Tribolium castaneum: one gene and its partner. The protein of the gene in region 1 interacts with the protein of each later gene in a biochemical or structural test. Links are inferred from orthologs where the notes say so. Each region holds a gene or a part of one and is shown in the gene's direction. Other genes may lie near its edges.

Region 1 (4,122 bases):
GGATTTAACAACGTCGAGGATTATTTACTAGTGAGTATTTTTGCTACTTTGGTTGAGTGTTGGATCCGTTCTTTAACAACTCAATCAATGGTTTTAAAATCGACACTATTGGAAGGTTTCAGGTCCAGAGAGATTATCAAATGTTACTGAACACAATGCGTTACCACAAGCAAATTCAGAAGGAGGCGGCGCCAGTGAAGCTACTGCAGCGGTAGATTTGTCGGAAATGAGCACCGAGCTGTAACTCATACTCTAGCGATCCAAATAATTTCATGTAATTTTATTATGACATTAAATTATAATATCACCGGGCGTTTTTTGTTGCGAGACCCGAATAATGATCTCTTTAATCTGCACAATTTCCATCCAAGGGCTGCTCTAATGTGAGCGCAGGGCTGGAACGATTTTATCCGATTTTCTTCGCCGATTTACGGGACAAGCCTTCTGCTTTGTTTATTCTGAATTAGGCCCGGCATTCGCCGAAAAATCCGCGTTTAATTATTAAAGCAGCGGCCCCAACTTGTTGAACTGTTATTGTTAGCAATGCAAATGGTTCAAGGTGTATACATGGTTGTATACCTGGGCGTTGCCGGGTTTAACTACCCACACAAGAATTTTACGGCGAGCTTACTGTTACGGCCCTGACTCTGGCTTTAAGGCGACATAAAAAATCAGCTATATTATTTTTTACACGCGGAACTTGCAAAATTGGTTTTTAATCTCGTTGCGAAGCAGGTGCCGCAAACAAGCTTAGAAATTCAAATGTGCCCCAACTTTCGAATTGTGCAAAAGCTGGCCAATTGTTTATTTCCGGATCTTGTGGAATGGTTTACGCATAGCTCGGGGACAGGCGTATAATCATGCATAAATAAAAATATTGACACAGGCAGACAACGCTTAAATCGATATAAACAAGATTAGTCGGGTTTAATAATCGCCGGTGTGCCCCCATCTCTATGGCGAAGATTTTGAATTTTTATGGTATGCAAATGGTGGAGTTAGCATTTGGTGTCATTTCTGGCGTTTAGTGCGCCGGGCTCGGGGGCTGGGGGGGCGCCCTTCCGGGGGCGGTTTCGGCCCCGGTGAAAAAAGCGTTCTTTGTGAAAATTTGCCATTTCTGAAGAAGGAGAGCAAAGTTTTGGAATATTTAGCACAAACGCCCATGAATAACAGGTGAGCGCATGCGCAGGGGGCACAGTCGGGCCAGGGTGGGGTGTACGGCTAGCTTCAGTTTTTGAACAAGTCTAATAACGCGGTTGTTGTGTTGAAGGGTGTTTCGTTGCTGGGTAAAGTTGGTGATACCGGTATTGTGTTCAATTCTAAGTAATACTGGCCAAATGGTAGAGACTGGGCGACTGAAACCGGGGCTATAGCTGAGTTTGGACCGCCAGCAGAGTGCACGTCGAAGCTTAGAGCGATATTGTGGACGGGACTGATCCTAACCTAAATAGTTTCCACAGATGCAGTGAAGTTCAGACCAGTATGTTGTCCACCTAGAGCTCCGGTCGTGGATGAGACAAGTGCACGGCGGTTGTGAGACACCCGTGTCGTGATTTCGGGTCCGAACTGTGGATGTAACCTTAAAGTGTAATGTGTGTAAGTGGGTTGCACTGAGTTTCACTTCCTATGGGAAATGGACACTATATAGGTAAATGGAGTGTAATTGCATTAACTAAGTGCTATCGTCAAATCGCCAGGCTATGTAAAGTGCGGGGCACATTTGTTGGTGCTGCTGGTCACCAGCTGCATTCCGTGACTTGGTCCAGACTGAACCCAGCATCCGTTTACTTGCAATTCCGTAATATTTTGGCCGTATTTATCGATTTCCCCCGTCACGACACTTTACTCGTCCCATTCACCAAACCGAAACTGTCTTACGTCCTCAAATGGACCATCTCGCGCAAAACGGTCCGATTGACACATCCGTGTGATTAAATTCTTAAAGATTGTAAACATATGTTTCATTTAACCGGAGTCCCCTCCCCTGGATTGTACTATTCACCGGCAAATGTGACTGTACTCATTCTTTGTCATTCATCCAAGTACACTCCCGGCAACAACCAACCCACTGTGGACCCGGTTACCCTATGACAGATGCAATCATCACTTTTCCTTACATTTCACACATTTCCAAACACACCTCTGTTGTTTTCATTGCATTAGCGCGCGTTGCCCAAATCCATTTTTGGCCAAACTACACAAATAATCAATTAAATTGTTGCATTGCATTTAGCCGGCAGAAATTGCTATTTGGACTGGCGGGCCAAATGCAACATTTTTCTTCCACACGAAATGCTACACCGAAAGCCATTTAACGACCAAATCATGGGGAAAAACAATCCTACATTTTTAATCAGCCTCAAAAACACGAAAACTGTTTCGGCTTTCGAAAATTACCAGGGCGTTTTTTCGTAAGATATAACTGGAATTATCGCTTATGACCGTTGTGGCTACGGTTTTAACGAAAAACAAACCAAATTTAAGAAAACACATGACTGAGATATTGAACAGAGAATTCTAATGTACGCTAACCTGTAAACACAACAAAGTATTTGGACAAGAACGACATTCCAGCTTGCATGAAGGATTTGCATGCGTTGCTGTGTTTTGACTTTTGTTATTATGTTTAAACCAAAAACGAAAAAGTAATACCTATCTACAATGTAAACAATAAAGGTTGGTAAAAGTCCGGGGAATCTCATGCAATAACGCTAACACTGGTCAACATGTTTTTTTTTAATATCTAGTACGTCTTTTTTATGCCAAATTGGCTATCACGTCAGGCCTCGGAAAACAATCATTAGGCAAATATTTGTATAAAAATATATTAAATTTCACTGTATGTGCGCGTAATTTCTTTATTACTACGAGTAAAAACGAAGAATCATGTTAAGTGACATATTTAAACCTGTTTAAGACGCTGGTTAAACTAAAAGGGCATTGCTATGCCGTTTGCTAAACCTATGGTTTGGCGTGCACAAAAGAACCATTCAAGAAATTATTAATTGTAACTTTTGTTTCACCAAAACCTTTCAAAATGTTCTGACAAGATCAGAAAAAGGAAAACTTTTTAAATAAGCGCAACAATGTACATGGATTAATATAATTAATTTACTTAGTTTTTATTGTTATTGTTTTATTGTTATTATCTTTCATTTAAAAAATAATTTTGATATATACAGTGAAACCTCCCATAACGGACACCTCTTCACAACGGACAATTAAAGGTTTTTTATCGGTGTCCGTTGTTGAGAGGTTTTACTGTAATTTATATTATAAACAAATTTTGTTGTCCACTGCAATTAGTTCTGATTGTAGAGGTTTTGCTGTATTTTTTATTTAGCACATAAAGAGCGCTATTTGCTTAATGTTGGTTATCTTTTTTTCGTCTTACGTATGTGTTTTTGATATATATTTTAAACCAATATACACGTAATATCGTTTTTTTATAGTTTGGCTTTTTCGTTTTCAATTCGCGTTTGTTATAACCATCTAATTTCACAATGCTAAGTGTAGAAAAGAAGACGGTTTTTGAAAGATATAAAGTATATATTTCTACTGTGTTATAAACTTATACATATCGTTCGATTTAAGCTGGATCGTAATAATTATGTCTACTGTAGTCAAATATAAGTTAGTTACACAGTACAATGAAGCTTCTTATGTGATAACCCAGTAACCATTAAACTTAATCCAGAGTTTTTTGGATTTTTTTTACCTTCTATAACATCAAAAATTAAATAAAATAAAAATGTTAGCGAAAATTACACGGAGAGTTTTTTTCTTCTGATCTTGTCTTATTTTATCAGAAGTGATTGTATTTAAAAATATTTACGAAATAAGTCAACAACAGTATAACTGTATTTTATTTTTTTATAACTTTTTTATTTAATTTTTGTAATTATCAGAACGCATTTTTTTGGAAAATTACCGCTAACAAAGACATGAATTTTATGCGTTACTTTAAACTCACGTCTAGATGTGCTTTGCAGTTTAATGCAGAAAACGAAACACTGTGCAGACTTGAAAACATGAATGGTAGATAATGTACGAAATTCGATTATTTAATTTGAGAACCTTTGAAATATGAAATTATTTGGAATGACTTGTGCCAAAATTGCG
Region 2 (4,142 bases), on another chromosome or scaffold:
GAACAGAGAACGCTCGATTCAAAAGCGACTGGACGAGATTCGAGACAAGTGGAAGAACATTGAATTAAGGACGAAGTTATCGCGCGCTTGGGACTTACATTCGCACGAAAATTCTGTGATTGAGGCCGCGGTGCCTAAATCTGACCATATTTTTGATGTGATAATGTGCATTGGGCGACCTGTGCTCGCTAAAATTTTCGAAAGACTGGTGCAAAATTTTAAGGTTTACCAAAGTGGGTTTCCCGACTTGATTGTGTGGAATGTTGAGGAGGGAAGGGCGAAATTTGTCGAAGTTAAGGGGGAAAATGATAAACTCTCAATTAAGCAGAAGTTGTGGTTGAACTATTTGTGTGATAGCGGGGCTTCTGTGGAAGTTTGTAGAGTTGAACGTGAGTATAAATCTGTACTGGGGGTTGTGAGTCATTTTGTGTTTTTTAGCCAAAGCCACGAAAAAACAGTTTAAGAGAAGTGTCGCCGCAGCGTGCCATTAGATATTAAAGACTTATATTTTTATACGTTCTTATACCGATTTATTATGTAATTTATCTTAAGTGTATTTTATGTTTTTGAGTTTTGAGAATTAACGTATTTGTTATTTTTTAATAAAGAATTGTTGAACTTTTTGTTGTTTCTCTTGCCTCTTCTTGGGATTTTTTGACTCAAGGGTTTCGATCTGTTTAAAAGATAAGTACTAAGTTAGTAAGTGCAGACAAGTATAAGTATAATATAAAATATATTTTTCCATCCTTTAAATATCCCATGAAAGCGTTATATTCTCACGAAAGAAAAAAAAAACTCAAAAAATTAAGGAATTTGTAACAACTAAATAACTTCAAAAATTCTATGGAACCCCATATTTTTTGTTTTTGCTTCCCAGAGATTATTAACAGTCTTTCTAAAAACAGAAAATTCAAATGTGTAAAGTTATTATGAATTTGCACTAGATTGCCACAAAATTTTGTTAGGACCAGGTAAAAGTGCTTCAAAAAATCAGCTGCTATCTCCTTTACAACCTAAATCTTATCAATTAACATACAATAAAGGAAACGTTAGAAAGGTTTTCTTTGTATATTCCCTATTTGAGTACATGTGGAGGAAGGCTTTGAGGAGTAATTTTTCTGGAGTAAACTGTTGCGACTCCGGGCATAGTGCAGTTGCTGCTGTGCAGATGGCGCAGCCCCGGAAGAAGTAGTCCTCCACCAGCGCAGTTCCGAGCACCACGCAGAAGTGCTGTTGTCGGGCAAGCGCGTTCCATGATGTCAATATGCTCATGTATTTGTGTTTATATTTCCTAAAAGAAAACATGGATGTTTTTAAATGAAAAGATACTCTTCATGTCCGCGCGTGTGTCTCTCAGTTGTAATTCTGTTAAGTTTGCATAGTGCGAATGCCGGAAGGCTTCCCTCCAACACCCTCACGACCACTGTTATGATGCAGTCAAGGGATGAAGTTTTTTAATGGGATATGCCATTAATCTGATTGTTGTAAGTTCTGTTCATCATTTATTTTCCTCGTGGTAATGCATTGTTGGGTAAAGAGCGGGAGTTCTTAAGAAAATTGTCAGGGACACAAAGTCCAGCTTTAGTTGATTGAAAGTCATAGCACATCTTGAACATCTGACGATTTAACACCAGCACGTTACACATGGTACATATCACATTTTATTTGACCCCAAGTTTCATTTTTTACTTCAGTAGAATTCTTGATCGCTATTTATGTTTGGCTGTCATAAAGGAATTGTAAACATAATTTTCTACTTGTTTATCATTCCATTCATTCATTGATGAAGCGGATTCATCCTGGATGTCACAAGATAAACCTAACGGTCAGATTGATACTAACTTGGGAATAAATACTTATTGGCACTCTTTGAGTTACATAACGGTGCAAGTACAGTAAAATGTGCAATTTTGTGCTGCGTTTTTGCCATAAGTTTCAAGAAAGTAACATTACATTTAAATGTTGAAACGGTTTTAATAATAAGATACCGAATTCGGAACAATAGCAGGATCGTTGGGTTTTTTCTTCTTTCTCCTAATGACTCACACAATCTTGTGGTTGGTTGTAACACTAGTTATTGAATTGAATGAACTCAAGGAGTACAACAAAACATACGTAAAAGGTCAACGGTCTCATACTAATATCCAATGTACGAAGTAAAAGTCGAGGTAAAAGTAAATCTTGTTTACATTTTTTCGGTTCAGTGGAGTGTTTAAATATTAGGTGCATAGACCATTAACTACGTTTAAATGAGACTTTAGTTACTCTAAAGTGTCTTAATGACTTATTTCTTTGAAAAGTTGATTACATCTTTACTGTAGTACCTAAATATCGAGGTAAATATCTACATGTTTGGAGCTTAGGAAGGTGTAACGTTCACATTATCAACAATACATTCTTTGGAATATAAATTGTTGCCATTACGAATGATTATGATACAACTGTAGCATTATTTGCATAGAAATTATTACAACAGTAATTTATTTTTAATGTTAATGTAAACAACCTATCCTCGAACCTATCTTATTACCCGGGAAATTAATATCTTTATTAGGTCTGGGAATTATTGTCCACAGGTTGATTTATCGACATTTTTTGCTCCACGTATTAATTTTTCTTATTTATGGAAAGTACGCTATGTATCATATTTATTTTTATAGTCAGTGATTCGTTTAGAGACCTTGATTGTATGGATAGATCATGATTCTATAAATATTTGAGTATATTTTTTTCTAATTATTTTATTTGCTAAAATTATGTTAGTTACCATTGATTGACTTACTACGTAATATCCAAAAGTTATAACGATTGTCTTTTGGAATTTCTTTCCTAAAGTTATTTTTAAAAGTTAGAGTTCAACTTTGCTAAACTCCAGTAAATTTCAGTTTTCACAAAAATTTGAAATTATTTTTTATTTGTTGTCTAAGAATTTAACAAAATTGTTGTCGGTTGCGTTTTATTGTCTCGTACATGTCTTCGGCTATCGAAAATGTGATGGGAGCATGTGGGAATTCTCGGCTTCCCATATGCCATCTGTTTTTTCGTTTTTTGGGTGGTGATATTGTAAATTGTTTTCTTTTCTACATCGTCAAAAGAGTTTTTACTTGTCGGGAAACCCGGATGAAATAATAAGGTACGTTACAGTTTTGAACCCAAATTATAGTAAGAACGTATTAATTACCGGATTTCTATTTCCAATTTGTTATTTTTTGTACTACCATCTCAAACCAGTTTTTCAATCAACAATTACCTTACGCTACAATGGGGCTAATTAACCTATTGCAAATTGATTATGGGGATTATGCAATTCTTCGTTCTGGTCTCATTATACGTGGGTATAAAGCCATTGGAGGTAATGCAGGCAACGAAGCTTTATTAGCAGATATTGAAATATCCATAGGTAAACAGAGCACTATTGCGTGCGACACTTTGAAGTTTGAATAACACTACCTGAATTTGCATACTGCAATAGAGAATAAATATTCTGCCACTGCATTTTAATTGCTTTTAATGGCCGAACCAATTTTAACACAAACAAAGGCAGTAACGGTTTTATGGGAACCGAAGACTTATTTTTTTAATGCAGCGCTAAGCTATTAAAACATTGATTATTATTAAAAGGGCTAGAAACTAATAACGTAAGAACATAATTCAAGCTTCGTTTAGAAACAGAGTTAATGGTTTTCTTTATTTAGGGGATTGGGCGCCTATTTAGAAAAGTTGGAATTTTTTATTAGCTTAATCAGCTGGGAGTTTGGTGAAACAGGATTTGTGGAATTACGTGATTTGTGTTAAGTATATTCTAATGAATTTACCAATTAGGGAACGTTCCAATATTCGAGCTCTCATTGAACCGATTATGATAATCTGTTAATTCCCCCGACTTGTATTCTTGCTACGTTTCGTGTTAATAAAGACAGTCTTTTACTTTTCTTCCAAGTTTTAATAATTCTTCGACTGGAAGGAAAACTTTGCTGTACATTTTGTTTTCTGCACATTCAGATGCAAATCAGTCTTGACGATGAGTGATTTTTTTCGCCCAGTTCAAGTTACTTTATAAGCGAACATATAAAAAGACTGGGTACCATCGGTGAATAACATAGTTAATGTAAAATGGAGGCGGTAAACAAGACTCAAAAGCT

Evidence for each region.
Region 2: the proteins of PlexA (region 1) and Sema1a form a complex in vitro, tested with the Drosophila melanogaster proteins (2 studies listed by BioGRID). The link is inferred for Tribolium castaneum from reciprocal best matches to the Drosophila melanogaster genes PlexA and Sema1a.

Annotation. Positions count from the first base shown.
Region 1 is NC_087403.1:8,409,904-8,414,025, reverse strand, and holds the start of PlexA (plexin-A2), read left to right. Parts: upstream 1-1,211; 5' UTR 1,212-1,648; intron 1,649-4,122. Other genes in the region: band 4.1-like protein 4, read left to right, coding at 1-30, 116-244.
Region 2 is NC_087396.1:10,643,160-10,647,301, forward strand, and holds the start of Sema1a (semaphorin-1A), read left to right. Parts: upstream 1-1,251; 5' UTR 1,252-1,484; intron 1,485-4,142. Other genes in the region: fanconi-associated nuclease 1, read left to right, coding at 1-389, 439-491. UniProt on the Drosophila melanogaster protein: Involved in growth cone guidance through its role in axonal repulsion. Function in neurons is essential for adult survival, motor neuron survival, and is important for climbing behavior and activity.